4 linked regions of the Notamacropus eugenii genome follow. The protein of the gene in region 4 interacts with the protein of the main gene of each other region in a pairwise test. Links are inferred from orthologs where the notes say so. Each region holds a gene or a part of one and is shown on either strand. Other genes may lie near its edges.

Region 1 (6,862 bases), on a different chromosome or scaffold from region 4:
GAAGAAACAAATACATACAATCAAATATCAAATCAAAGAGGAACAACTTTCAAAAGTCTTCTAAGATCCAAGAAAGTCAAAGACTTTACACTTTGTTGTGCCAAGATAAGACTAAAATTCTAGATGCATGAAGAAAAAGGCATCAAGTCAAATTGCATTTGCTTGGGGGTGGGAGGGTTTCACCTGGACATTTTGATAAAGTCAATTAACTCTCCCTATGACCTGGAAAAGACACATGTTCTATTCCAAAACAACAAATCTTTGAAAAGTTTTGTCTAACTTGTACACTCTCCCTTTTCCCTCAGGTATCACACACTCATCTTAAACCCTTTTCCAACCATGAAGCATCTCAAGTATTTTATTGATTCTGCCCTGATTCACAAACTCCATTTGTTGATAAGGCTACTCATATTATACACTTTACTAATTACACTACAGATTAACACTGCCTCCCTCTTGCACTCTTAAGTTTTAAAAGAGGGGATATATTTACAACCTATGAAAAAAGTTTTAAGGTAAGGTGACATACCTAGAAACAAATTTAAGAATTGAAAACAGCAAGCAGAAAGCAGTCTAAACTAATATTACTAAGCCAAGTTACCTTATTCAGATGATAGGAAAATTACAGCAGTGAAGTAACTTTTTGGTTGCCTTCAAAGCATGTAAAAAGTTTAAATCAGTATATTTAGGGAAGCAAATAGGCTGAAATAAACTGTTGTCTAAAACTATGAAGACTAAGTGAACCTACAAGCCAAGTGCAGTTTTAACCCTTTACAATGAAAACAGCTCTGAAACCAAGTGACTACTAAAAATATTGCTAAAGGCCCATCAGTTAAAAGTTAATTCCAATATAAGGAAAGAATTAACACAATCCTTAGCATTAATTGAATGAGTGTTTATTGAAAGAATCTAACAAATGGAGAATAATTTACTTTATCTATCCTGGAATCATCATTTCATGTAGAATTACTTTAAAACCATAACTAATCTTGAATATTCAAGGAGATTCAAAGATGAAGAAAAATCAAACTAGTAAACAAACAATGATCTAGTTACCTAATATTCCCAGTTCCTCTAACTCTTTCCCCCAAATTCTTTCACAAGAAAGAAATAAAACAAAAAAAATCCCAAAAGTACAACAGTCCAAACCACTTGATCACAACTAAATTTCAGAAGCTTCATTCTGACATGACCATATGTTTTTGCCAAAACTAAGAACAAAGTTTAACACAAAGATATTTGCAGTCCTTAGGTCCTTAGTATGTTCTGTTCCTACTTCACAAAAGACCACTAAGAAGGGGAAATGGGGACACAAAACAGAATGCTTAGAGGATAATGACAGCAGTGGAGCAGTGCTGGGAGTCAGAACTTTTAATTCCTGCTCTGAAACTAACTTTCCATATGGCTGTGATCAAGTTACCATTCCAAAAATGTCGATACATATAACACTGAGTATGTATATAAAAATGTTACATGCTTCAAAGAATTATCATCTTCACCCCTTGCAAAAGTTCCTTTACAACTATGAAAGGAATGGGACACTTTAGAAACCTTTACAAACTGTGCTCTGAAAAAAGAATAGCAGCTTTTAAATCAAGCAAATTCCTGTTCCCCCAGAAAAACCAAACAACTCCCTTATTCCTACCAAATTTCATGAAGTAAACGTTCAAAACCCACTCAAATCTGTACTGAATCTGTTTTAAAACAAGAGCATTCTTAAGTTGGCTACATCCTTTCTCTTACCAATACCAGTCTCAAACTCTATAGGGATGGTTTTAACGTGACCCAACTGTACACTATTTTCAGTAGACACAGTGTCTAACAAAAACTCCGACCCCCTTTAAAAACATATTTGCCAACTCTTTCTTTTTACCACCTAGGAGTTCCTGGGGAGCAGCTGGAAGCAGCACCTCAAAGCATCCCGGGATGAGGAGCGGGGAAAGCCTTCCCCCAAACTCTGCTGTAACTTCAGCCCCAGCAGGTCCCCCAAGGCCGGCTGCCCTGCTGCAGGGGATAGGAGGCAGGGGGAGGCCTGAGTCCCCCCTCCTCATCAGCTGCTCTCTACAGTCCCGAACCAACTTCACTTTCCTTCCAGGTCTCGTCAAAATGGCCTCCCCATCTGGGCTCTAAAGGCTTCCGAGCGTGAAGGGAGAAGAAGAGATGAGGAGAGAGTCGAGGAAAGGCGGAGGCAGGGAGGCGGTCCCCTCTGCCCCCCCGGGGGGCCGTCGGGGCCCCGTCCCCAGGGCCAACAAGGGTTCCAGGGGCCGAGGGAGACCAGGAGGAAGACCCAGGTCTGCGGGGCAGGAAATGGGGAGGGGGGTCGGTGCCCCGGACAGGCCGGAAGGAGGGAAGTGGTGGACGCCGGGGCGGCCGGGGCTGGGGAGAGGCCCACGCTGGGGGCCCCACCCAGAGGCGGCCCCTGGGGCCGGCCGAGCCCTCTCAGGCCCGGCTCTCCACAGCCCGCCATGCGGCGCCGGGAAGGCTAGGCCGGCTCTCCCGAGGGGAGTCTCAGAGCTAGGCGGGCCGGGGGGTGGGGGGAGGGTCCCGGGATCCCCGGGCGCGGCGCGACGCTCACCCGCGGGCCGCTTCCAGGCTCTTGATGAGCTTCTTGATCTTCCAGATCTCTACGTTCCTGTCGGCAGCGCTGGGATCGTCAGCCATCTTCTCGCCTCCTCCTCCCTAGAGCGGCCCGGCGGGGCCCGGAGACACCAAGACCACAGAGTTAGCGCCGCCGCCGGGGCAGAGCGGCCCCCTTCCCCGCTGCCCCCGAGCGGCCCTTCTCTCCCCCCGGGCCCCCCCCCCCAGCCGCCTGTACCCCGCGGCCCCAGTCACTCGGGTTCCTCCTCCCGCCCCCCCCCCCAGCCCTCACCTAAGGGCCCAGTCCCGGGTGGCAGCGGCTCCTCCCCGGCGGCGGCGGCTCCGCGGCGGCGGCGGCAGCGGCGGCGGCTCTGACGTAGGACACCGGCTCCCTCTCTCCAGGCAGCTGCATGTGTTGCAATCCGCTCACATGGGGCCTGTGACATCACTTCCGCAGCAAAGGGCTGGGTGCGGAGGGGGGCAGAGGAAAGAGGAAAGGGGGAGGGGTCGCAGGAACTCGGGCGCGCGCTGCTGCACTCCATTGGCTCATCGCGCGGCCTCTAACAACGGGCCCGGTGATTGGTCGCATTTGGGGCCGCGCTGCCTTGTGAGGTAGGGCAGGGGGGTTGAGGCGGGGGGGAAAGAGCTACCACCTCTTCCGGGGCGTGGAAGACGGCAAGTGAAAAAGAACCTGTCCCTAAGACTCTCGCGAGCTTTCGATCAGTGCCGCGTCAGGACAGTGAGGAGTGGGCACTTAGAGGGCAATGCGTGGTGGTGCGAGGTGGTAGCGTCTGCTTCTCTCCGGATTTCCAGGCAGTGAGCTCCCCATGGCCCGACTTCGAGTATCCTCCGGGGATCTATGGGGTTGGTCGGCCGCAGCTCGCTCCCCGGCTGAGCCAGTTAGGCTACGGGCGCTGCCTTGCGCGCCGGGAATGGCGCCTTGCAGGCCTGGGAGGAGAGCGCTCCGGGCCGCCTCAGTGACGTCGCCCCCGGCCTCCGTGACGTCACGGCCTCTGGCTCTAGAGTGAGGGACTCGCGGAATTGCAGTCATTTCTGGGTCTGGGGCCTCGTGGGTCAAGCAAATAGGAAATGTCGGGACCAGAATGCCCTGTGGTTGGGGAGGTTGTGCAGTTCTGGCATGCGTGAAAAGAAGTAGAAAAGGATGAAGATACTTGAGAAAACTTGTGCGGCGGGATGGGTAAAAGTGTTGAGATTTGGGTACCGCAGACTTGGGTTAAATCCAGTCTTTGACTTGTGTTAGCTAGGCAAATCATCGCTAGGCCTCAGTTTCTTCATCTGTAAATTGGTCGTGGTATACATAATAATTCAAAAGGTCTTTGTGGTGGTCTTGTTACAAGATTGAGTATAAACGCTGTGCAAACCTTAAAGCCATGCGTAACTGTTAGGTAGAATACATGTGTTCCATATCCACTTTATTCATTGGACTCAAATGCTGCTTCTATCTTTAAGCCTTCTGTAATGCCCTTAAGAGGAAATGACTACCTCCACACACGCCTTGAATCTTCTAAGTCCTTTGTACCCGCTTTGTAATACTTTGAATTAGTGTTGTAGAGCTCTAGACTTGGGAAACGGGAAGTCGTATAAAGATACACTTCTAATGTGACTTTTATATGATCATGGGCAAGTCTCTCAAAACCTCTCTGGGTCTTTCCTCTTCTCTAGGGATAATATTTCTAGTACCTACCTTATAATGTTTTGGTAAAATATATATGGAAAGTCTTAAAAACTCTTAAGTGCTTATGTAAGTTATCAGTTGTTACTGTATCTTGTATGACCTTGGAAAAGCTACTATAGAATGTAATACATAATATCGATAGAATGTAATACATAATATCAATAGACTGTAAGCTTTGTTAGATAATGTATAATATTGATAGAATTGATAGAATGTAACCTGAATGCTGGGAAGCTTAATTTTTGCCTTTACAAAGTACCTTCACAAGTAAGTACCTGGTATGTAATAGGAGTCTTCTCATTGAGATTATAAATGCCCCCTAGGGATTTATTTTTTTGAAGAGTGGAGAGATAAAGAAGTGTTTTTTGTTTACTAAGTTGTGTGTATGTATACATACATATATGTATATATAGTGTGTACAATATTTATGTAATCCATGCATGTATGTTTGTATTTTTACATATTTTTATACACACAGGTGCTCAGTAAAAATGACTTAAGAATCTGTTTGCTAGGACCAGCAATACTGTTCATCCTGCTCCTGCAGGCCCCTTTCCCAAAAGACTATCTTACTTGAGTTTGAGATTTTTAAACAGTACTTATTGAAATCCAACCTACTGGATAGTTTCATGGATTTATCTGCACAGATTATATGGCCTGTGTTATAGGACAATCCTTCAAGTCAGTGATATATTCAAATAGTCAAAATTTTGCATATCTTTTTTGCCAGGAATTCTTAAGAACATCTCTGATCCATGCAGTGGAATTTTGGCTGACTGATGTTCTGAAAATATATTCATTTACACTGAGAACTGGATGAAATGATAGGAGCCACAAACCCTGAGAGATGCATACAAGGGAAGAAAAAATGTGGGAAGATTAGGGATCTTGAATGTGACTTCTGTGCTGAGTAATGCTATTAGCACATGAGGGAAAGCAGGCCTATTTTGTCTTCTGACAGTTAAAGTATTCCATGAACCATGGTGGTCTATTCTGGCTTATCTATTTGCAAAAATTATATAAGTATGTGTAATTGGGTTGGCAAAGAAAAAATAAAACTCTGAGCTTACGGTACAAACCTGGCAGAAACAATTTTATTAATTTAAGATTATTTCCAAAGCCAAGGATTTCCAGTTTAAAGAAGTGTCCAAAGTGTTCAGCTCTTCCTAACTGCCCCCCCGTATGCTCTCCGGCAATTTGAAAGTAGCATTTATAGGAAGTAAAAAATGTCTCATTATATTATAATAGGTTTCTGAGTTAATAGTAGATTAACAATAATTTTCCCCTAAAATTACTCAGTTCCTTCCTTGGCTCCACTAAGGGACTGAGCCAACCTTTCTCCTAATAATCCTCCCTAATTCATCCTGAGTGAGGAAGAAGAGGGTGTCTTGTATTTTCTAAGCTAGTACTTTCTAGCTCTTAGCTCATATCATTGGGAGTTGAGGAAGCCAATGATATTTATTAAACAAGAGGTATGTTTTATATTTGGTTCCCATTCTTAACTTGTTTTCTAGGCCTTACCATTTGTTCTTGACTTTTTCTAGACTCTCCTAAAGGTCTGGAAAAATCATTGTTATTTAACCAACATTTAATGATGCCATACTATGTTCCAAGAACTGTGCCAAGGGAGGGAATGGTGAAGGGAAGACACTATGAAAGATGAGGTATGTAACCTCAAGGACTTCAAACTAGAAAAATAATTTTTGTTGAACTAAAAGGGAGATTTCTTTAACATGCTTCTATAGGAGGTAAAGCTATCACCTAAAGAAAGAAAGGAAAGGATGGTAAAAATATTTTTCAAAATATTCCTGTTTGAACTAACTTCAGTAAAAAGAGATGAAATTCAAATCCAGTGGGCCAAGGCAAAGAAATTAATTGAGGAATAATGTGGCAGTCTGGGAAGTATATGAGAAGAAGCCTTTCTGAAATATTAAAGCTGTTATTGGTGTCTTTATTTTCTTTTATCACATATCACATTTCTATCATACTTTTATCACATTTTCTTTTATCACCGTCCCCCCCCCAACCCAAAAGTATATGAGAAGCCTTTCTGAAGTATTAAAGCTGTTATTGGTTTCTTTATTTTCTTTTATCACTCCTCCCCAAAAAGCCCATATTTTTTATCTCCCCTCCTCCCTCCCCATTTTATCCATTCTGCAGTACAAAAACAAAACACAGGTGAAGAGGCCAAGAGTAACATGAGCAAAATGTCAGTCTTAAGAATAGTTTCTGCCTTCTAATCCCTTGCCCCCTTGTCACATCCTGGCTACTAATCCCTTTTTTAAGATGTCCACAATTATCTTTTCTACTACATTAAATTCATGTACAATAATTTGTTCAGCCAATCCCAAATTGATAGGCACCTCTTTTTTATTTCCAGTTCTTTTCTACCAGAAAATAGAGTTGTAAATATTTTTGTACCTTGGGGTTCCTTCTTTATTTGATCTCCTTGTTGCCGAAGCCAAGTAGTCTTGTCAACTAAAATTTCAGCTGAATAAAGAGCAAATAATGGTGTCTTGACTCTATGGCTGAATGACAGTCTAGTCTTATTGGCTCTAGAAAGAATGTAGAGGAACAAGTGCTGAGATA
Region 2 (7,594 bases), about 1.5 Mb from region 4:
GGAGATAGGGCCAAACCACAATCTCCCTCCACCCTCCACCCCTCAGATTTCAGCTGGGACTGTCTAGAATGAAACACTCCACAGGACTCCTGCAGGGGGTCAGTTTCTGGTAGGGGACAGCTTTCCCTGAACCAGCAGAAGAAAATGGCCCACAGCCATAGGCCTCAGGAAGGGGCCCTGAAGATGGAGAAACCTTGGGGCTTGTGTCTAAAAGACAGAAGCCATGTAGGCTATTCTCTGACTGTCTGGGGTCACTGACACACAGGGATTCTGAATCATGACCAACAGGTCTGACCTGGACAGCAGAGATGTTCAGGAAGTAGTCGGCCAGCGTTTTTGCATTGTATTCTGGACTGTCGGGATCATCCACCACTGGGTAGTCAAAGCAAAGCACATCCCAGCAGAGATCCATGGGCGGGTTATACCCATTGGGCAGGACACCTAGGACCAGGTGGTCAGGTTGAGGGTCCCCACACTGCTCTCAGGAGCTCCCCCAGCCTCAGGCCCTATTTCAAATCCTTCCTTCTTCCACCTCCAGTTCTCCCCAGGCCCTGTGCACACCTGACAAACTTCAGGGATGAAATGGGGGAAAAAACTCTAACCAGTGAAGAGGTCAGCTTGAGGAGGTCGTAAGTTGGCACTGGCCCTCCAGACCTGTTCCATCTCCTTCTGAATCTTCCTCCTCTGCTTGTCTTGATAATCCAGACGGCCAAAGAAATAGCCATCAAAGCCCATCTGTGGGGAGGGAATCAGAGAGATGTCAGGGCCTGAGGTTCTCTCCAATATATGTGGAGAGGGGAGGGAAGGGTCAGTGGGTAGGAAAGGGTGGCAAGATAAAGCATAGTTAGAGAACACTGAGGCAGACCTGGGCAAAGAGGGATGCTTGCTCCCGTGAGTGGCCGAAAGGGTCAATGTGCCAGGCGACTCGGGGGCGGCCACAGTCCCCAAAGGTGTCTTTCAGGAACTTCAGCCCCAAAGTCATCTGGTCAATGATGGCTGCATAGTATGTGGTGGCCTCGTCATTCATGACCCAGCCTCCATTGGCAAACTGGAGCCTCCCTATGGAGTAGAGGATGGGGTCAGAGGAGTTCCCCCAAAGGAGGCCTCAGGTACCAACTCCTGCCCCCTGCTCTCAGGAGGCCTGGCTGCAAGAAGCCTAGAGTGGGCACCAGGCTGCCAGCCTGCCCTGGGTCATGGTAGGTACCTGTAAAGGATATGGACCCTACTGTGGCAGCCCCCAATCCTCACCCTGGCAGACCAGCTGTCGCACTTCCTCCTGCATCTGGACTGTCTGCTGGTTCCACCAGTAGGAGAAGAAAGCGATCTCAACGTAGATGAATCGACGTGACTCGTTGGCCAGCAGAGCTGATACCACTGAGTCCAAGATGTACTGCACACCAGCATGCTGAATGCCATCTCGAGCTATAGGCATTTAATGAAATTCAGGTTATTCACATAGTCACTAAACACTTACTGCGTGCAGGGGCCTGTCCTTGGTGCTACAGCTACAGAAATGAAATGAATCAGAGTTCTGAGGAAACAATATCTTCAGCTGGAGCGGTGGGGTGGATATCATGACAGGAAGGCTTGTTGGGATAGATGTGGGTAGGCAGTGGAGACGGAATGAGCAAAAACCCAAAGAACAGAAGACCACAGAATAAAAAGGGAGAATAGAAAATAACGCACTTTGGCTAGACTAGAGTATATAAAGTAGAGCAATGTGAGACAGCTGGGACAAGGAAGTAGCTTAGAGTCAGTCTATAGTGGGCTTTGATTGCCAGGATCAGGAATTTATACTTTCATTTGTTTAGGCAATAAAGAGTCACTGAAGGAGAACAACGTGATCTGAACAACCATTAAGATTAATTTGACTATGAGAGAGAGATTGGATGGGAGGCAACAAACTAGAGACCAGGGAAACTGGTTAGATTAGACAATAGTCTAAGGAAAAAGAGATGAGAATTTGACATAGGGTGGTGGCCCTGTGCATGGAGAGGACCCTGTGCAGATAAAAGACACATGAAGATGGCAAAAGTGACAAGACTTGCCAGCCAATGGGAAGCTGAGAGGGGGCAAGGAGCCAAAGATAAGTGAAGCTTGGTGACTCCTAAAGGTCATATATGGCTTCATTGGAAGAATGCTGTACTTGGGCATAGTCACCCTGGGAATTACCTGGTTAGCCCACAAAGGTGAGAGGCAAGTGCTTTTTTAACCTTAAAATGCTATTACTACTACAGGGATAACATCAGCAGAAACAGAAAAAGGGAAAGGCAGATTTGGAATAGGAAAATGAGAATTTAGTGCTGGTTAATGTTCAGTTTTTGGTGCTGGTCAGATGCTTCATAAGTATATAAGGGTGGGTGACTAGATTTCTGGAGAGTGGTTGGGCCTGGAAATAAATATTTTGTTGATTCCATCTGGTTCATCTAGGTCATGGGGTAATCATACAAATATAAAACTTTTGTATACCTATTACTGTATTATAATTACTGCTTTTTTTTCTGTTCAAACATAAAAGCAAAGTGTAGAAATTGCAAAGAGGTCTATTTGAGCTTCCTAACTGAGTTATCCCAAGGAGAATGGGAGCCTCAGAAGGTAGGAGGCTTTCCCTCTTGGGACATTTTCACAAAGGCTAGGTGACCACTTCTCCTATATTGTAGAAGCGATTCTCCCTTAGGTAGGGGTGGGACAAGTTGGTTTCTGAGATCTGTTCCAACTCAGATTATGCAATTCTCTGACAACTGAAGCTATGGCAGTAAGAAAAAATCATGAGGCAAGAAAGAGAAAGTACAGGGAGAGAAAGAAGCTGAGGGCAGAACTTCCAAAGGAATCTAGTAGAGGAAGGCTTCGGATCAGCTGACCGAGCCTTGGGGCCACAACAGCCTGTGGTCACTAGCACCCATTCCCTCCCAGCTTAGAAAAAAGATGATGGAGGCTCAGTGACCCAGAGACTGGACGACTGGACTCCTACTTTAGTCCCAGACTGCTCTCCCTCTTACCTCCGTAATAATACTGATCCACAGTCTTGAGCCAGCCGACATCATCGTGGGTATGGGGCAGGAGGTGCACATTGAGCATAGAGGGCTGGGTAGCCGGGCACAACTGGGCAGTGGGCAGAGACCCCCACCATTGGGGCTGTTAATCACCAGAAACACCACAGCCCCTGGCCAGCCCCACCTCTCCAGGTAGGGCCCCCAAACCACAAGATAGGGAGAAGGCATGGTGGGGTCATAGTTCAGGGTCCAGCTTCCTTGCACCCACCTCACTGCTCACGGGACTCCCTCGAAGGTAAGCCCCAGCAGCCCAGCGCAGGGCCCCCAGAGAGGGGAAGACGTACTCAACAAACATGGGGCGGTCAGGGGGCAGCCGCGCCACCCTTCCCCCACCCCGGCTCACTTCCCCTTCTCCTTCCCCGGCAGGCTCGGTCACGGGCTCCCCCCGGGCTCAGCGCCGCTCTCCCAGCCCCAGCTGCACGCTGCCCGGCTCTCACCTCATAGTAGTCGCAGCGGCCGTCCTCGGCCCCGGCCCCCACGCACAGCGCCGCCAGCAGCAGCAGCAGCCGCAGCGGGAGCCCCGGAGCCCGAGCCCGGCAGCCGGCAGCCATCGCTCGCCTTCCCCGAGGGCAGTCCCAGCCTAAGCGGCCCAGCTCCGGCCCCAGCGCCGCTACAACCCGCCCGGCAGCTCAGCCGCACGGCCCTTTAACCCTTCCTTCGTATGAGCCAGACCCCGGAACCGAGGCCCGACCAATGGCCCACGAGGGGGAGGGCGGGTGCGCCCCCCGACCGACCAATCAGGGGGCGCGAGAGGCGGGGCCCGAGAGAAGAGGCGGAGAATAAACAGAGTCCAGAGAAACTTTCTTACACATTTGTCTGTATTGGTTACTACAAGTAGTTACAAGCTGGGGAGCCCCGCAACCCCAGCCTCTGCCCCAGCCTGGCCTGCCCGGGCCCGGGGGCGTCCGTCCCCAGTCTCAGCCTGCTGGCAAGGACCGTGGCCCAGGAAGAAGGGCAGACACTGCGATGAGAGGCCAGGCAGGCGCAGGAACCTCTTCTCTCCAAGGTGCCTGGGGCAGGGAAGCTGGAGAGGAATTTGGGGATGGGGGACACTGACAGGGCCAGGGCCCAAGAACAGGCAATCTTTCAGCGGAGGTAAGGTCAGAGTAGGGACGTTCCACCGTGGACTCACAGTCTGAGGCCCCAGATTTGGAGCAGAGGCTGGGAGGTGAACATAAGAGTAAGGAATAAACCAGTTTCTGGCTTTTTCTTTATTCTGGCCCAGGAACCAATAGTAAACGCCCTAGGATCCTGAGGTCCAGGTTGAAGAGCTAGGAGATTGGTGTCTACCACGGGGGTGTCATAGGCTGGGGGTTCTGGAGGTAGGACATCACCACAGCAGAAATGGAGAGCCTGGGTGAGAGGAAAGAGGGTGAGGTTGGGGCTGGGCTCTTCGAACCCTCTGACAGGGAAGGAGAAAGGGAGGAAAGAGGGGTCAAAGACACTCCTCTCCACGACACTGGGACCCCCACCAGGGCTTTGCCCAGTCACCAGAACTTACATGAAGCTGCTCATCATCTGCTTGGTATCTTCAGAGCTTCGAGAGTTGGCAAAGCTGATGAAGGAACAGTAGACAGCGATCCAGGCACACCACTTCAACTGGGAAGGAGAGGCAGAATCAGGCTGGGCTGGAGTCTTCTCCCTCTTTTTCTAAGAACCCACTTCAAGCCGGAGGCCTGAGTCCTCACCCCAGGGGCATGTCTTCTCACCCAGGTGCCTGACCCTCCCCACCCTGCCCTTGAGCTGCACCTTGAGCATGAGGCCACACATGCTGAAGATCATTCCCAGCAGGTTCATGTAGTCCGGGGTCGGATCCTCCAGGGCCGGATTGTTTTCCGAGGCCGGTGGCTTGTACCTGAGAACACCAAGGTGGCACAGAAAAGGGCTTTGTCAGCCCATCTCAAAGCCCGAGAAGGAGAATCAACATACAGGCTGGCTTTCGTTACCCGGGCTCTCTAGGCTTGGGGGAAACCCAAGAAATCCCTTTCCCCCCCTAGATTTCTAAGTACAGGGAGCGAGTAGGCTTTCCCAGTCTGGGATCTGAAAGCAGGAAATCGTGCCAAGAGAAACAGCTTTTCCTCCCAGGATCTCCAAGCGCAGGGGAGACATATAACCAGCTTGCCTAACTCCGGCCCTAAGCGCAGGCTGGGGACTCAAGGCGTCAGCTTCCCCTGGGAAGGATCTCTAAGCGCAGGCTAGGGAGTCTAGGGACACAGCTTTCCTTCTTAGGATCTCTAAGCGCTGGCTGTAGTTGTGGAATGGGCTTCACTGCAGGGAAATCTCTGAACTTGGGGGGTGGAGGCGGGGCTGGCTCCTCACCTGAGCACCTTGTTGGGCCGCCGGGGGTCCGACATGTTGTTAGCGGACATTGCCGGGCCGGGAAGGGGCGGGGTGTGCGGCGGGGCGGGGTTGAGGAGGCTCGCGAACCACGGGTCCTGACCCCGCCCCTTCCGCTCTCGCCGCCGGCACTTCCGGCACCACACAACTCCCGAAGCGCGGGGGAACCCCTAGGATGTAACACTGTTGCCTCGGATGCTTTCGTTCCAGCTACCGCCCCGAACATGGCGTTCCCAGAGCCGAGGCCAACGAAGCCGGAGCTGCCTCGGAAATCGGTGCGGAGCCTGCCCTGCCGCCAGGGAGCCGTGCGGGCTGTGCGGTTCAATGGTCTGTGCCCTCCTGACTCGGGGAGGGAAGAGGGGGGAGGGAGGGGAGCGAGAGAGAGGGAGAGGGGGAGGAAGGAGGGAAGGGGGAGGGAGGGCGCAGAGGGAAGGTCGGGGAGAGGGAGGACAGGCTCGGACTCTCCTTCCGCGCAGTGGATGGTCGCTACTGCCTGACCTGCGGCAGCGACAAGTCACTGTCCCTGTGGAGCCCCCTGCGGGGGACATTGCTTCGGACCTACAGCGGCCACGGGGCCGAGGTGCTGGATGCTGCAGGGTGAGACCCTCCCCCAGAATGTGCCTCACCTTTGGGGCTCCGCCCCGGGGCCACTGCACGGAGGCCCCTCTTCTTCCCCAGTGGGAACGGGCCTCTTGTCCCAAATGTTTTCATGGGCCCATAAACCGTAAACCCTCAGGCGGCCTTCTCCCAGCCTCCGTGCCCCCACCTCATGCCTTCCTGGACCCCAGAGATCCACGGTTCTCCCACCCTGCTCCCCAGCTCCTTTGACAACAGCCGCCTGTGCTCTGGGGGAAGTGACCGCGCCGTTCTGTTTTGGGACGTGGCATCAGGCCAAATTCTTCGAAAATTCCGGGGCCATGCAGGGGTAAGAACGGGGAGTGGAGCACTGAAGGGAAATCCAAGGCTGGCCCATTCCCTGCCTTGGTGGGGTCCATGGCTGCAGGGATTCTTAGTCTTCTTCACCTCCCATCCCCAACCCTTCCCCATCCCTGCACCAAGTCCTGTCAGTACATCCCCTCCAAACTCTGAACTGACTTGATGTGAGGCGGAGGCCATCAGCCCTTACTGTCTACTGGCCTGCTGTCTTCAACCATACCATGCTATACCTCCTCTGCCTTCCAAGTCCAGTTTAGGGGCCACTTCTTCCCAAAAATCCCACCCCACCGGATCATTCCTCTGCTTATTCCCATAACCTAAACCCCCATACAATAACCCACATTGACCAAACATTCCTCTACCTGTATCCCACGCTGGCTTTACAGAAGGTGAACTGTGTGCAGTTCAATGAAGAAGCCACAGTGATTGTGTCTGGTAAGTTAAGAGTTCTGGGGGTAGGGAGAAGCTTCAAGAGCCTAGGTTCTGCCCCAGCTTCCATGTCACTGGGAGCTGGGTCTGGCTGCAGGCTCCATTGATTCAAGTGTCCGATGCTGGGACTGCCGTTCACGACGACCTGATCCTGTCCAGATCCTAGATGAAGCCAAAGATGGTATATCCAGTATAAAGCTGTCAGACCATGAGATCTTAGCAGGGTGAGTGCCAGAGAAAAGTAGGAAGACGTGCCTGGCAGAGACCAAGCAAAGTCTTGACACATCCAAGCCCCTTCTCTACTGTCTCTCCCCAGTTCTGTGGATGGACGCTCACGACGCTATGATCTTCGGATGGGAGAGCTGTATGCAGATTATGTGGGAAGTGAGCTTGGGGCACAAGGGGCCTGGGAGGGCATAGCTGGGAGCACTAATCCTCACCCTGCTCCTTCTACAGGTCCCATCACTTGTGTATGCTTTAGCAAAGATGGCCAGTGCACACTCATCTCCAGCCTTGACTCTTCCCTTCGACTCCTGGACAAAGACACAGGGGAGCTGCTAGGAGAGTGAGTCAGCCAACCGAGCAGGTGGCCTCTCATCTGTTCACCCATTTGTTCAATGTTAATTAAGCTCCTGTGTACAAACCTCTCCGGGCACAAAACACAAACCCAAAGAAAGCTATGACAAAAGGGGATGATGCATATCCAATTATAAAACATGAGAAATGTTTTATGAGATTGGTGAGAGAGGCACCAATCAGAAATGACTCTTCCAAGGGAGTCTGGGAAAGTTTCATAGCTGGAGATCATGCCTGGGTTGGGACTTGAATGGAGGAGGGGG
Region 3 (7,209 bases), on a different chromosome or scaffold from region 4:
CCTGCTCTTGTCAATATTCCATTTATTTATGCTGCTTAATTTTTACATATACAATAAACTGTTATTATCAATTTTTCACCAATGTCCAGTGCTACATATACACAATCAGATAGGCCACCTTCACAGTTAAGGTTGTGCCCCAGAGCGAAAAACTTCTGCATCTAAGGTAGGAACTACTTGACATAAGTAGTAATACATGGTCATGTTACTGTCTTTTTCTGTGCCGTAGCATCCTTTTGTAAAAATGTAGTTATAGTGTTAACTCATAGGATTTATCGTGATTTCTGGTCACCATTCTTTGATCAAGGTTAACTTAATCTGCTTTCATTTCAAAGTTCAACAATATAGAATTACAGATCCAGGGAGCTTTATTATAATTGCTAAATAATGTAATCAGGCCACTTTTTCTTACTGATCCTCTTTTGTCCCTGAAGAATCTTTGTTCCACCATCATTCTAATTTTTCAAATCCCAGAGAAATCCCAGACTCCTTTATATCTCATATTTATCATGACAGATTTGCCAGATTTCATTCACCCTAAGAGAATAAATAGTACATTATTCCTTTTCAACTACGCTATACCAGCATAAGAGAGGGATGTTACTTCAAATTGTTACGGAATGTGCAAACACCATCATAAAAGCAACTTCTGGATAGTTTTAATCCAAATACATATATAGTACATAACATGTTCAAAAATATACAGTAGCATTTCAAAATAAAGAATCAGAGTCCTCAAAAAGTTTATGATTTAACAGAGAAGAAACACACATACATTAGCAAAGAGGAAAGAGTCCACAGACAGCTCAGGACATAATCTCTACAAAGGTGGAGAACGGCCACAACTTACCTGGTAGGTCCAGAAGGCAAGGGCTCGGGAGCTGATGTCCAGAACAACTTCTGGTCTCAACCCTGCCAGCACCATGGCCTTGTATTCCTCGGTGGGGCTGAGCTCGGTGCGAACAATGTCGAGCTTACCAGAAAGGGTACTGTTGCAGGCCGGGCAGACGGCTGGAGACCGGCTGAACTCCCCACTGCCATGCTGGTCACAGAAGATGTGTGAGCACGCGGTTACCCACGCGTAGCCAGAGAGCCTGACCCGACACTTGCGATAATTACAGAGCAACATGTCTTCACATATAGACATGTTTCGGTAGGAATGGCTCTCTCTCGGGCTCCAAAACGCCCAAGGGAGTTCTAAGGAGGAATCAAATGAGATGTGCAGTTAGAGCCGGGAAGATGGAAGGATGAAGAGACCAACAGGCCCACTGGCACTTTGGGGGCAGTCAGCATTCACTGACTTTCCTCTGCCCTCAGCAACGTCTTACAATGGGAAGCCCGTTACACTGAAATGCGAGAGCCTGGGCTCTGCCACTGGTCACCCATGCCTTTCTTCATGTCTCTTCCACAGTCCGGGCCTGTCTTCATCTAGAAAACACAGACTAGATCTGAGCTCCCTTCTTTCTACTCCTCTGTGACGGTATCACAGAAAAGCAGATTTGGAGCTTCCTTCAAAGGACCCTAGGGACCATCTAATTTTCATTTATCCCCATTTTTTAAATGAGGAAACTGAGACCCAGACAGGTTAAGTAACAACTGGCAGAACTGGGATTCCCGCCCAGGTGCTCTGACATCAAACCCAGCACGTTCTCTTCTTATTTATTTGTTTTTTGGGTGACCGGGTGACCCAGTTGGGCCTGGGGTTCGAATCCTGCCTCAGACGCTCTTGGCCTGAGGCGGGTCGCATCCTCTGCCTCACTTTCCCCAGACAATAACAGCCCCGACGTCACGGGGTTGCTGCGGGGATCCAAGAACTATCTTGCACAGTGCCTGGCACCCAGCTGGCACAAAACAAGGGCCTGTTCCCTTCCTTTCCCCCCACGGACACGCACAAACTGCGGCCGGGACCGCACCGACGGTCAGCAGCTGAACAGGGAGCACGGTCGCGGCCGTCCGACTGGGATGGCCACGGCTCTTACCGCCGGGTTCTTCCCGGCTAGGCCCAGCCCCCCAACCCCCACCCCCATCACTAGCCGAAGGCCGGGTTGGGTTTTTTTAATAATTGACACATTTTGCCCCAAAATCACGCTCGGTTTTAAGCCGCAGACCACAAGCGTGTCCTCCCACGCAAGGCCCGGGAGCTACGAGGCTCCGTCCTGGACTGGGTCACTGAGCGGGAGGCTCAGCCTTTAACTCATAGACAGGAGAGTGGAAGGCCCGGAGGGTTCGGTCACATCCCCCCGTCCACACTGGGGAGGGGGAGGGGAGGCGGCTGCAGGACCGGCTCGGGGCCTTCCACTTCCAAGTCTAAGGTCCTGGGACGGACCTCAGCAGGGGGTTGCGTTGGAAGGCCTCAGAGGTTCCTTCCGGCTCTAGAACTAGAATCCTGTTCGGCTTTTATGAAAAGCCTGGATGGGGTCAGGCCCAGATAGGTGGGGGGGTGGGGGGGAACGGAGGTAAAAAGTTCGCTAAGATCCTGGGAGGGAGAGGAAGGGGAGGGGGCGGAGAGAAGGGGGAGGGGGAGAGAGGGGGAGGGGGAAAAAGGGAGGGGTGGGGGGAGGGGGAGGAGAGTGGGGGGGAGGAGAGAGGGGGAGGGGGAGAAAGGGAGGGGTGGGGGAGGGGGAGGAGAGTGGGGGGGGAGGGGGGAGGGGGAAGGGGGAGGGGGAGGAGAGAGGGGGAGGGGAGGGGGAGGAGAGAGGAGAAGGAGGACAGAAGGAGACTGGGGGAGGGGGGAACTTCTCCGAGACTTTACACCTGGAGGAGGAGCAATTTCCCCCACGCGCGGGATGCTGAGGCCCAGGGAGGGGGCGGGATTTGGTTAAGGGTGGGAGAATTTTGAACTTGGATTCCAACACTTTAAGGCAACTTCGAAGCACGAAAAAGAAAAAAATTAAGATTTTACTTGAGCCCGCCAGGAAGAGAAAGCGCGGGAAAACACCTCAGCCTAGAAAGCGCCCTCAGTCGCAACGCGTGTCTCCTCCTCTCCCCCTCCCCCTCCAGTCAAGCTACGCATGCGCCCCGTCCTCCACGAGCCCAGATCGAGCGTTCTGCACTGCGCGTGCGCCATGTCCCCCGCGGGCTATGAGCTCACTTCCGCCAAGATATACCCAGAGGATGTCATACGCCCAGTGAAACTGACGTATTTTGAACGGGCAGAACTCATTCTGTGACAGCCAGAATGGCCTTATTTCCACGCTTATCACTTTTCTGTAATCCTCTCTCGTGTTTTGCCGAAATACTAATCCAGCTCTCAAGATTCAGCCCAAATCTCACCTGTATCTGTGGCGTTATTTGCATCACATATATAGATAGATATAGACATAGACAGATAGATATAACCTTGAATTTTTGCTTTGCACAGCCTACTACATTCTCCCAACAGATTGTGGTGTACCTGTCTGCGTCCATGACAGATGCCAGTGACAAGTTTATATGGACTATCTATAGGGCTCATTGCCAAGGGAAGCAACTTGTTTACAGAGCAAGTCAGCCCAACAGAATCTGGGAACAGGGAAGGGCACTTAGAGTCTGTTACCTAGTCTAATTCTCTAATTTTGTAGTTGAGGAAGAGTATGGAGGTGACTTGTGGTAATCACATAGCCAGGCAGTGGCTCCACCAAAACCGAAATTCCAGTAACTAAACTAGCAAAATGGAATAATTGTCTTTTTTTTTTATTGAGCATAGCTGCTCACTAAGGGCAATAGTGGATAGAGTGCTGTGCCTGCTTCAAATCTGGCCTCAGACACTTACTGGCTGTGTGACCCTGGCCAAGTCACTTCACCCTGTTTGCAGGAGTGCCTCATCTGTGAAATGAGCTGGAGAAAAAAAAATGGCAAACCATTACTGCATCTTTGCCAAGAAAACTTACAGTCCCACAGGACTGAACAACGTCCACATACCAAGGGCTGTGCTAAGTACTGGATACAAAACCAGCTAAAAATAGCCTCTTTTCTCAATAAGCTGAGTCTCAGGGACAGAAAACATGCAAATAATGCAGTACAAAAGGAAATATGCAGAATAAATCAGAGGTAACCAAAGATGGAAGGGACTACCATTAAGGGGGAAGCAGAAATGCCTTCTTATAATTCTAGCTGGGGATGGAAGGTGCAATGTCATTGCTGATGAGTTGTGTTTTAAGTTAACGGATAATTTAAAAAAATTTTTAATCGGTAGTATCATTTGTAAAATCTAAAATTGGTGGGAATTCAAAAGCAGGAGCCTCCCATAAATATGTAAGCTGGTTGAACAACATACATAATGGGTTTTAAAGATTAAGATGAAGATTTCCAAAATATTTGAGTGGATTTGCACAACCAGGTGGTGATAATTAAGGCTTTAAAAATACAGCAGATGTCTCATGCGCCAGTGAATGCAACCAGAGGCTGATTGTTAAGTTTGTTACAAGTTTGAGAGGCCTTGGGATAAACATTTGACAGTAGAGCCTATAGGGTATTTATATGAAAGATCTTGAAATAAACGTTACATTTATAATTTTTTTTCTTAGAGCTCTATCAACTACTGTTCCCTAATTTCAGTTTAACTAAATCATTATCTACTGTGTGCAAGAGACTATATCAGGCCCTTGAAGATACAAAGACAGTAACTGCCCTGAAGTTTATATTCTATTTAAAGCATTGAATTTACAAGATAAGTAAATGAGATAATTTAATGAGGAAGAGAGCAAGCACCTAGAACTAAAATACTCAGAAAAGGCATCTTTTTAAAAAATACTTGAATTGACTTTAATGAAACTGATTTTTAAAAATGGAAGTGAAAAGGGTGTGCATTTGAGGTATGGTTACCAATGCAAGGACATACATACAGGAGATGGATTGCCAAATTAAGAAGCCAATTTAGCTGTAAGATTAAAATGCTTGTTCTTTATTGTATATGAAATAAACCTGAAATGATAAACTGAAACTATATTGTAGAGGACTTTAAAGCGCTGAGGTGCTAGTGTCAATTGTTACTCAGTCAGGTCCTACTAATGATACTGGAGTGGTTTTCCATTTCCTTCTTCAGCTCATTTTACAGATGATAAAACTGAGGCAAATGATTGCCCAGTCACACAGCTAATGTCTGAAGCCAGATTTGAACTCAGGAAGTTGAGTCTGTCTGATTCCAGGCCCAGCATGCTATCCACTTCACCACCTAGGTATTCCCATAAGGAACTATTTAAACTTCTTACCAGGTAGTCAGACTTTTACTTAAAAAAAAAGAGGCAGGGAGACCAATTAGTTAACATTGCAAATATTGGAGGCAAGGAAAGATAAGGACCTGAACTAAGACAGTGGCTGCATGGGCTATGAGAATGAGATAATTAATTAGGGCTGATTATAAACGTATAAACCTGGATGTCATGAATGGTGGTGCCCTCAACAAAACAAGGCAATTTCAGGGAAAAGTAAGGAATCAGAGTGGGCCATGTAGGTAGAGACTGGTGATTCAGGACAATTGTTAAGCGATTAAAGAGATCCTACAAACATTGTATGACATGATTTCCAGGCTCCTTGCCATCCTCTTAATAGCCTTTTGAAGTGAACTACCACTTGAGGGAAATCATTTTCTTTTCCCCTAATTTAGCATACATCCCTCAGCAGCTGTTCCAAATCTACCCTCTCCTTGCTTGTCCTTTAGACATTCTATATCCCATTCTCTCAGCAGTAACTGCCAATCCTATTTACTAAAGTATCTGTCAAAAGGTAACTCAAAATTCCTCTACAGCTTACCCTGTCTACTTCTGTCTTTGAAGAGGAAGTAGTTCTTTGTGTCAAGACTTAGATCCTCTACTTGTGCCCTTGATCCCATGCGCCTCCTCCTCCCAAGGCTCAGATCTGAGTTTTTTTCTTTCTTAATTAGCTACCTTTGCAATTTCATATATCAGTTCATTTATTTCTTCAGATGACTTCTGAATCTACATATTTAGCCCACATCTCCTGAACACCACTCCTCTATCACCAGTCTCCTGCTGACGATCACTACCTGGATGGCCAACTGACATTTCAAATCCAACATGTCCAAACAGAATTCATCCTCACCTGCCTTTCCAAGAAATCCATCTCCTCCGGACTTTTCTGTTGAGGTCACCAGTATTACCCCATGTTCAAAAAAAACTTACCACTCTCCCTCACCACCTTTATCCAATCAGGTGCTAACTTTTGTCAGTGCTAACTTTTGTCAGTTCTACCTCCACAACAAAGCTTGTTTCCATGTCCTTCTCCTGGGAACTGCCCTGGTTCAGGCCCTGGACTACTGCAGTAGCTTTGGAATTGAACTATCTCTATCATCCTCCCATCTTCCATATAGCTGAGAAGACGAGACCATTTTGGCTGCAGCAAAAGGAGGGGGTGTACCTGTTAGAATTATATCACTTTCAGTAGGCATGCGACGTCATCCATGTGCATACTTTCTCAAATAGGGCAGCACAACATATCGGTACAGATCCATTGGAACCACTAAGGGCTTTTTTAAACTTTATTTTATAAATAAGCGTACAATAAGCAAAAATGGCCATTGGGAGACATGGAAAGAGACAAGTGATCCCAACCAAGACCCTTGTAATATTCAACTGTAAGTATAAATGAGATTATAGCTCACAAGCCTCAAAGTTTCATTCTCCTTTGTTGTCACTTTTTATCAATTTGAAATATTCTTCCTTTAAAATTTTCCAACTCCCTAAATTACTGACAAAGGCAATTGGGTCATTAAAAAAAAAATCTGTTGAATACTAAAGGTACTGACAAGTATAGCCTAATCTTCAAGGTTACTTTTGAGAATATCCAGATTTGTTCTTGTTCAATAGAGACCAAAATAGCACAAATAAATAGCTTTTTGAAGATCTTATATGCTACTCAATCTTACATAAAGTGTATAGGAAGGCTGCTAGTATATGTTAGGATGGAAGTTTCCTACTGATCATTAAGTAAATCTTTCACACAGTAATAACTTAAGTCTCTCACATGAAGAGAAAGCAATTCCTAAACTTTTGTTACATATACATGGGTGTAACACGCACAGACACATGCATATATATCGCAAAGTAAATAATTCAGTCATCTTGGAACACCATGCTCAAATTAGGCAGTGACAAAATAGTTACTTATGGGAACTCAGTTCTGTCTACTCTGATTAGACATGCAGTTGTAATGAACTCATCAAGTTCTAGGTTATAAAAATACATGCTGCAGACAGTTTTTCCATTTAAAAGT
Region 4 (7,441 bases):
CTGTCCCAGAGACCTTCCAGATGCCCGACACAGGGCACAGAATCCCCCGAAAAGGACAACCATCATGCAGCCCCTCTCCCCACTTACCCTGAATGGGGTCAGGGAAGAAAGCGGCAGGCCTGCCAGTCCCAACCGAAGCCTCCAGCTCCCCTCTCCAGGGACTTCCCTGGCATTTTCAAAAAAGAGAAATGTCAGCGTCAGCTCAGGGAATACCCAGCTATCTCGGCTTAGGGGAATGGAGAGAGGTGGAAGTGTGGAGAGAGAAACAGAGGTAGAGTAAGAATTCCCCCACTTGCAAGTCTCTCCCTTCACTTTCCTGCAGAGCCGCAGGTTTAGCTGAGTTGACTCAGGGAGGCCAGAGGACATCGAAGTTCTCAGTAACATTTCCTGCCCCAGCTTGAGTAATAGCTGAGGGAGCCGTTTCAGAAACTCAGATCTCTCTCATCAGCAGCAAGTTCTATGTATCTTTAGATTTGTGGCTGTGTAACTTGTATAATTCTGTGTGTATGTGTCACTGAGCTGTAGATCTGTTTGCCTGTGATTCTACTTTTGTGTTTTAAATCTGGAGACTGGATGGGATGATGGAGAGAGGGGGTGGGGAAGTCCTTTTTCAGTTAAGGATTGAATTAAATGGTCTCTAACGTGCTTTCCAACTCTGAAATTCAGTGATTGGAAGACTTGTGTATCTGTGAATTTGTAGTTGTTCACATGTATAACGCTAAGTCTCTGTGAATTTGCGTGTCTACTTATTTGTGTATGTGTAATTGCTTTATGTCTGTGGATCTGTGCCTGCCTGTGCAACTCTACTTGTGTGTGTGGCTTTTGTGTCTGTGCGTGTGTCTAGGAGTTCTGGGACAATCTGCCTCCGCCCCACTGGTTTGGCCCAGCTCCGGTGCCTGCCTGGTTCCTGGCCCGGAGGTCACAACTCATCCCCTCCCTGGAACCTCCCCCGCTGTTCCTCATCACTCTGGAGCTGCCTGCGAGGTCTTTGCCAAGGGCTAAGCCCACTCACCCCTTCAGCCCCCTCACTCCAGACTGGCTCTAGGGACAGCTGAGCCGGTTTCTGCTCTAGAGAGGGGCACAATGGCCCCAAGGGCATCTCGGACCTTATTCCTGCGGGGCACAGCAGTTCATTCGGTCTTTTTTCTAGGCTGGCTGGGTTCCCAGAATGGGGAAAGGGGGAGAAGCTGTCTCTCGCTCCTGCTACTCCAGAGGCTTTCCGGAGGAAGTGGCCAAAACTCCCAGGGCTCAGGAATCTGAGGAGAAGGGAAGGTTTGGGGGAGGGGGGGGAAGGAGGACCCTGGGGCGCTGGAATCTCTAGAGGCTGGCTCTGGGGAGAACTCTGCCACTGACTTGGTCCTCTTCCTTCTCCAGCAGGGCTGGGACCAAGATCCAGGGCTCAGGCCTGTGAACGATTTCTTTCCCAATGCCCAGTATGGTGATGTAGCCACGCATCGGTGAAGCGCCTCAAGAGGCAAAGAACCACGAGGAGGAGGAGGTGGGGAATTAGGCCACCATGGAGCCGCCTCCGGCGCTCCAGGTTGTGCTAGGGAGTGAGGTGATCGCTCTGCACTACAACTACACCGGCAAACTGAACGGGGCTCGCTATGATCCCGGCAGCGGCTTGCGCGCAAGTGCTGCAGTCTTCCTGGCAGTGTGTGGCCTCATCGTCCTGGAGAATCTGGCGGTTCTGCTAGTCCTCTGGCGGCACAAGAAGTTCCATGCGCCCATGTACCTGCTTCTGGGAAGCCTGACCCTCTCCGACTTGCTAGCCGGCGCCGCCTACACGATCAACATCCTGTTGTCTGGGGCCCGCACCTTGCACCTGTCGCCCGCTCTCTGGTTTGCCCGCGAGGGCGGTGTTTTCGTGACACTGGCTGCCTCGGTGCTCAGCTTGCTGGCGATAGCGCTGGAGCGACACTTGACCATGACAAGCCGTAGGCCGGCGCCCACACACCGGCGGGGACGCACCCTGCTGCTGGCGGGAGCTGCGTGGCTGGCGTCCCTGCTGCTCGGGCTTCTTCCTGGCCTCGGCTGGAACTGCCTCGGCCGCCTGTCCCAGTGCTCCACAGTGCTTCCCCTCTATGCCAAGTCCTACGTGCTTTTCTGTGTGCTTGCCTTCCTAGTCATCCTTGTGGCTATTTTTGCGCTCTATGCCCGCATCTATTATCTGGTGCGTGCCAACGCAAAGAAGTTGCAACTTCGGGCTGCGTCCGGAGGGTCCCGCCGCCTGCCCAAGTCTTTGGCGCTGTTGCGCACGGTGACCGTGGTACTGCTGGCGTTCATCTTGTGTTGGGGACCACTCTTCTTGCTTTTGCTGCTGGATGTAGCGTGCCCAGCTCGAGCCTGCCCAGTACTCCTGCAGGCAGATTACTTCCTGGGCCTAGCCATGGCCAACTCGCTGCTCAATCCCATTATCTACACGCTTACTAGCCGGGACCTACGCCGTGCGCTCCTGCGCCTTTTCTGCTGTTACCCGTGCTGCTGCTGCTGCTGCTGCTACAGGCCCCTGCGCCCAGGGCCAGGTGGTGGTGAAGGTGTGGCCAGCGTACGCCTCCGGCTACCGCCTATACTGGAGTGCAGCACCAGCAAGTCGGAACGTTCCTCGAACCGACATGAAGTCGACACGAGCGTCTCCACAAGCAACGCCACGCCCACTCCAGTTAAGACTTAGGTGCAGAAAGTCACAGACTGACACTTTATTCCCCAATCCCTCTATAGGACCCAGTCCTCTCCTTCTGCACTATTTTTAGATTACAGGTTGTTTTTATTGTTGTTTGAAAAATAAAGTAATTTGTATTAGAAAGCCTGAGTATCGGGGAACGGACACACCTCGGAAACCTAGATCTCGAGGAGAACCTGGCCTGAAATTTTGAAGTCCTCATTAGAAAAACCCAGAGTCGTCAGTGTCAGGTTAGGTTCTAACTTCCTTCGCTTGGAACTCCAAGTTAGCCACCCTACATAAGCGATAAAAGGGAAGAGCCCTTGCCAAAGACTCAATCTCTCTGCTGGTCAAGGCTTGTGGGAAAATCTTTGTGCTGCCCCCATCTCATGCCTGGCTGATCTGTGCATACGCTAACCCGAATCCAAGTGTTGCTCTTATTTTTCCCATAAAATAACACCTAAGAGCTCTACCACGATCAGTCAGTCCCCTACCCTTCTGAGATGCAGATTGCACAGCTCTGACCTTAGAGTCTCAGTTTCTAAATCTGATCTACACTTCGCTGCCCTAGCCTACTAGCGTCTGCGCGCCTCCACCTCCCGGTAGCCCCCGGAACTGCAGAGGACCTAGGTAGCTTTGTTAAGGAGGCTGGAAACCCAGAGATGGGCGGGCGAGTTGGGGGGTAAGGGGAAGGGAGAATTCCAGTTGCATCTTGGCTCAGGTCTCAACCTCTCCTTAGATTCCAAGTTTTAGTTATTCCAAGTCCTGTCCAAGTCTGTGGCCTTGAGTTACTTGAAACTCCTTCCCCTAATCCCAGGCGATCCCTTTTAATGCCTTGGAACCCCGGGATCTTCCTCTAAATCCGCTTAGATTGAGACCCTCGGATTTACAATGATCCTGCCGCAGCCCTGGCCAGAGTTGGTCCTTTCTATTACACCCATCCTTTCCCTTCCCAGCCACCAGCATCCTGTGGATCCTTGGATTCCCAGGTCTTTGATACACTTCTTATCACCGAAGCAGAGGGAGGCTTCCAAGAGTAGAGAGGCACCCAGCTCCTGGGGACTCTGACCCCTGGTCTAGGACACCCGTGTCACGCCCGTCTGGGTAGGAGCCGGAGTCACCCGCAGGGCTGGGAGAGGAGTCGCCCTCTCCTTTTTCTCCCTCCCTCTAGGTGTGTTTCGGGGATGGGGGCGGGGTGGAACTGCCGTTTTTCTCCAAAAGTTCAGGCCTCAGTGAGTGCGGGCAGGTGCCTCGGCGGTGGTGAACAGCACGTGCTTTGGGATCCTCAATCACTCTCTACGCCCGGCCTAGGAAAGGCAAAGGCCTGGCTTCAGGTGGCCGGAGGAGAGGGGGTCAAGTGAGGTGTTGAGTGTAGCCGCGCTAGCCTGGAAGGAGGGGCGGGCGAAGCATCGAAAGCAGCGAAAGGTTTGCCAGCCGCAAGGGCTGCTTCTGGGGCAGGGCTGGTGAGTCACGGACAAGCTGGGCCACTGGGGTCGGTCCAAGAGGCAAAGTCGGACATCCCGAGAGCTTGTGGTGAGTCCTGGGGCCAGGGGCCCATGAAGCCCCAGCCGAGGTCGCATCACGCCCTGGGCTTCCGGGACAGGCTAGCCCCCAAGGGCGCTCAGACTCCCCCCAGCGCCGGGGTCGGGGAAGGTAGCCCAGGGGAGGCCCTCCAGCCTCCGCCTCTGTCGCCAGTCACACGAAGTAGCTCCGTTTCCACGCTTTCCTTCGCGCTTGGGTTACCCAGGGACGACCCTCGGACGGGGGAGGGGAAAGAGGCGGGAGCAGGGCCCCTCCCCTACTAACCTAGCCTCCTAACTCTTTCTGGGGGAGCAAAACCAAGCGTGTCCCCTTTTCCCCTTGCGCTGGCTGGAGGACCCGGCTATGGGCGACCCCGTTGGCCGAAGCCCGGGTGGCGGACCAAGGGACTCTTATTCTGACAAGGCCGGGGCGCGCGGTCTGCTTAGTCACGGTGACTTTATCCTCCCCTCGCCCCGCCCCTTCTCCTCCCCCCCTCCCCGCCATCTCCCTTCCACCGCTCCCCCCACCCCCATCCCCCCCGCGCGCCGCGATGGAGGCGCCCGAGCCCGGGAGGCGGAGGCGGCGGAGGAGGAGCAGGAGTGCGGCCATGGCTGGGTGAGTAACGCGGCCGCTACCGCCGCCGCCGGAGCTCGCGCCCACGGGGCTGCGGGAGGCCGCGGCCGGCAGGGGCCCTGCCCCGAGCCGGGACCAGGCAGCGGGTACGGCGTTTCAAGAGCCCGCGACCTCGGTGCCTGCTCGGGTTCGGGCTCTGGCGCCCGGCCGGGGGGAAGGCCGCTGTGAGGGGTTCGGGGTGGCGGGCCCCGGATCCTCTTTGCAGCCCGGGGCCCGCCTGGCGGCGCGGGTCGAGGCTGTCTGGAGACAGGCGCACCCTTACCGCGGGCAGGCCCGGCCCGGCGCCCTCCCGGCCCGGCGCCGCTTTGTTTCCCCACGTCGGCCCGGCCTTCCCCGCCCGCGCCGGGTTCCCTCCTTCGGAGGGCGGGTTCTGGGGCTCAGGGCCCGGCGCTGGAGGGGCCCAGATCCTATCCCGGGCTACCCCAGGGCCTGCAGAGCCAGTTGCGGGCGGGCCGGGCCGGGGCAGGAAGTAGGTGCGCAGCCATTGCGCCGCCCCAGCCTCGGGCCTCGGGCCGGCAGGCCGGGCCCCACCGGTGACATTCGTGCGGCTGCCCCGGCTTTGTCCCCTTTGGGCGGCCCGGCGGCCCGGGGAGGGTGTGGGGGGAGGTTCGGGAAGGGAAGGAGCGCGAGCCCCGACGTCACATAGCTAGGAAGCTGTCCCGCCAGGCTGGAACCTGGGGCTTTCCTCCAGCCGGGGCTGGGCCAGGGATGACCCAGAGCAGGGGCGCAGAGGGAGCCACCAGCCCCGAAATAGCAGGACAGGAGTGGAAGGCAGGGGTGTCACATACGAGTTAGGTAATGTGGGGGGCGCCTGGTAGGGATGTGGGGGGTGCCTGGTAGGGATGTGGGTGTCCACTATTTAGACAGAAAGGTATCTCTCAGATATTTAGGGTAGTTGTAACACTGGTTTGGGACCATCTGCTTTTTGCACTTGGAGCCAGAGTTTGGAGTCTCAGGAACTGGTTTTGAATTCTATCTCTTACCACTTGTGCATTAACTTCTCATATCCTCAGCTTCCTTATCTTTAAAATGAGGTTGACCTCTGGGGTCTACGATCCCATCAAGGCTCAGATCCAGACCAGAGAAGCCTCAACCAGGAGTCTGGCTGGGGAATATACTTATTATCTATTTACATAGCCCTTTTAAGTTTTGCAAAGTACTTTACACAGGTTGTCTCATTTGAAAGAGGCTCCACCCAGGCTAGGATTGCTACTTGGAGTGCCAGCTGATATTGATAGGGCTCATTTTTAGGTTGGCATTCTAAGCACCTAGGGTGGGTGGAGGCTGGCTGCTCTCCCCTGGGATAGTCTTCTTAGCAAAGGAGAGAAGTTTCCCCAGGAGAGAGAAGCAAGCCCATGGAGGAGTGGGTTCTCCCTACCAGGACTGGCACCTAGGGCCTGATCACCATCCCCTCACCCTCACTCCCAGGTGTGTGATTCCAGGCGGTGGCAATGTTTTTCTAGAGCCTGATGAAGCCAGTGTCTGGGCATAGCAGGGGTGTTCCCTGTGCCCATTCTCTCCCCCTTCTGTCCAAACGCCCTGGGGGGGCCGGCTATGCGGTGATGTATGCCACGGAGTGCAAGGCGGAGGTGACACCCTCCCAGCATGGCAACCGGACCTTCAGCTATACCTTAGAGGACCACACCAAACAGGCCTTTGGCATCATGAATGAGCTTCGGCTCAGCCAGCAGCTATGTGATGTGACTCTGCAGGTCAAATACGAAAATACACCTGCTGCCCAGTTTATGGCTCACAAGGTTGTACTCGCCTCCTCCAGCCCAGTTTTCAAGGCCATGTTCACCAATGGGTTGCGGGAGCAGGGCATGGAAGTGGTCTCTATTGAGGGCATACACCCCAAGGTGATGGAACGACTCATAGAGTTTGCCTACACTGCCTCCATCTCCATGGGGGAGAAATGTGTGCTGCATTTGATGAATGGGGCTGTCATGTACCAGATTGACAGCGTAGTTCGGGCCTGCAGTGACTTTTTGGTGCAGCAGCTGGATCCCAGCAATGCCATTGGCATTGCCAACTTTGCTGAGCAAATTGGCTGTGCTGAACTCCATCAGCGTGCCCGGGAGTACATCTATATGCACTTTGGGGAGGTAAGTGTGTATATGTTTGGTGGCCTGGGAGTTATCAGGTGGTAGTGGTAGTGAGTGATTTACTTTCTGGAGATAACTCTAGTCCTGTGCCTATCAAAACATCACACCTCTGGTTGAGGTGTATAGAGTCAGAGTGAAAAAGCATAATTTGATGGAGTCTGGCTGCTACCTGTACTTGTTCATTTGTTTAATAGTACTGCCTGAGCTTTGGGGAGGAGCTGGGAGCATTCTGTTTCCCTGTGTCTCCACTCAGGGGTGGCCCCACTGAAAGCAGGAAGTACACAGCTCCTGATGGTGGTAGTCCAATCCCAGGAGGATGGGGGGGGGGGGGGGGGCATCGCTTTGGACTGCAGTCAAGAACCTCCTTGCTCCCACTACCTCTCATCCCCTCTACCAGGTAGCAAAGCAGGAGGAATTCTTTAACCTATCCCACTGCCAGCTGGTTACACTTATCAGTCGGGACGATCTCAACGTGCGCTGTGAGTCCGAGGTCTTCCATGCCTGCATCAATTGGGTCAAA

Evidence for each region.
Region 1: the proteins of KEAP1 (region 4) and ETF1 interact in binary tests that used the Homo sapiens proteins (3 or more experiments, as listed by UniProt). The two-hybrid records come from large-scale screens. The link is inferred for Notamacropus eugenii from reciprocal best matches to the Homo sapiens genes KEAP1 and ETF1.
Region 2: the proteins of KEAP1 (region 4) and WDR83 interact in binary tests that used the Homo sapiens proteins (3 or more experiments, as listed by UniProt). The two-hybrid records come from large-scale screens. The link is inferred for Notamacropus eugenii from reciprocal best matches to the Homo sapiens genes KEAP1 and WDR83.
Region 3: the proteins of KEAP1 (region 4) and CCNB1IP1 interact in binary tests that used the Homo sapiens proteins (3 or more experiments, as listed by UniProt). The two-hybrid records come from large-scale screens. The link is inferred for Notamacropus eugenii from reciprocal best matches to the Homo sapiens genes KEAP1 and CCNB1IP1.

What each region holds. Positions count from the first base shown.
Region 1 is NC_092872.1:365,679,238-365,686,099, forward strand, and holds the start of ETF1 (eukaryotic peptide chain release factor subunit 1), read right to left. Parts: upstream 3,007-6,862; 5' UTR 2,870-3,006; intron 2,680-2,869; 5' UTR 2,662-2,679; coding exon 2,576-2,661; intron 1,995-2,575; exon of another isoform or gene 1,877-1,994; intron 1-1,876. UniProt on the Homo sapiens protein: Component of the eRF1-eRF3-GTP ternary complex, a ternary complex that mediates translation termination in response to the termination codons. The eRF1-eRF3-GTP complex binds to a stop codon in the ribosomal A-site.
Region 2 is NC_092875.1:78,242,273-78,249,866, reverse strand, and holds the start of WDR83 (WD repeat domain-containing protein 83), read left to right. Parts: upstream 1-4,652; 5' UTR 4,653-4,750; coding exon 4,751-4,766; intron 4,767-4,802; coding exon of another isoform or gene 4,803-4,908; intron 4,909-5,372; coding exon of another isoform or gene 5,373-5,422; exon of another isoform or gene 5,423-5,487; intron 5,488-5,504; exon of another isoform or gene 5,505-5,600; coding exon 5,601-5,717; intron 5,718-5,866; coding exon 5,867-5,987; intron 5,988-6,209; coding exon 6,210-6,315; intron 6,316-6,712; coding exon 6,713-6,761; intron 6,762-6,852; coding exon 6,853-6,979; intron 6,980-7,071; coding exon 7,072-7,320; intron 7,321-7,594. Other genes in the region: MAN2B1 (lysosomal alpha-mannosidase), read right to left, coding at 296-441, 603-735, 866-1,059, 1,249-1,422, 3,000-3,102, 3,491-3,604; WDR83OS (PAT complex subunit Asterix), read right to left, coding at 4,340-4,406, 4,555-4,652, 4,803-4,908, 5,373-5,422. UniProt on the Homo sapiens protein: Molecular scaffold protein for various multimeric protein complexes. Acts as a module in the assembly of a multicomponent scaffold for the ERK pathway, linking ERK responses to specific agonists.
Region 3 is NC_092878.1:13,988,480-13,995,688, reverse strand, and holds the start of CCNB1IP1 (E3 ubiquitin-protein ligase CCNB1IP1), read right to left. Parts: upstream 3,001-7,209; 5' UTR 2,903-3,000; intron 2,537-2,902; exon of another isoform or gene 2,327-2,536; intron 1,198-2,326; 5' UTR 1,148-1,197; coding exon 851-1,147; intron 1-850. UniProt on the Homo sapiens protein: Ubiquitin E3 ligase that acts as a limiting factor for crossing-over during meiosis: required during zygonema to limit the colocalization of RNF212 with MutS-gamma-associated recombination sites and thereby establish early differentiation of crossover and non-crossover sites.
Region 4 is NC_092875.1:79,704,885-79,712,325, forward strand, and holds the start of KEAP1 (kelch-like ECH-associated protein 1), read left to right. Parts: upstream 1-4,430; 5' UTR 4,431-4,546; coding exon 4,547-4,798; intron 4,799-6,244; exon of another isoform or gene 6,245-6,279; coding exon 6,280-6,921; intron 6,922-7,318; coding exon 7,319-7,441. Other genes in the region: S1PR5 (sphingosine 1-phosphate receptor 5), read left to right, coding at 1,517-2,674. UniProt on the Homo sapiens protein: Substrate-specific adapter of a BCR (BTB-CUL3-RBX1) E3 ubiquitin ligase complex that regulates the response to oxidative stress by targeting NFE2L2/NRF2 for ubiquitination.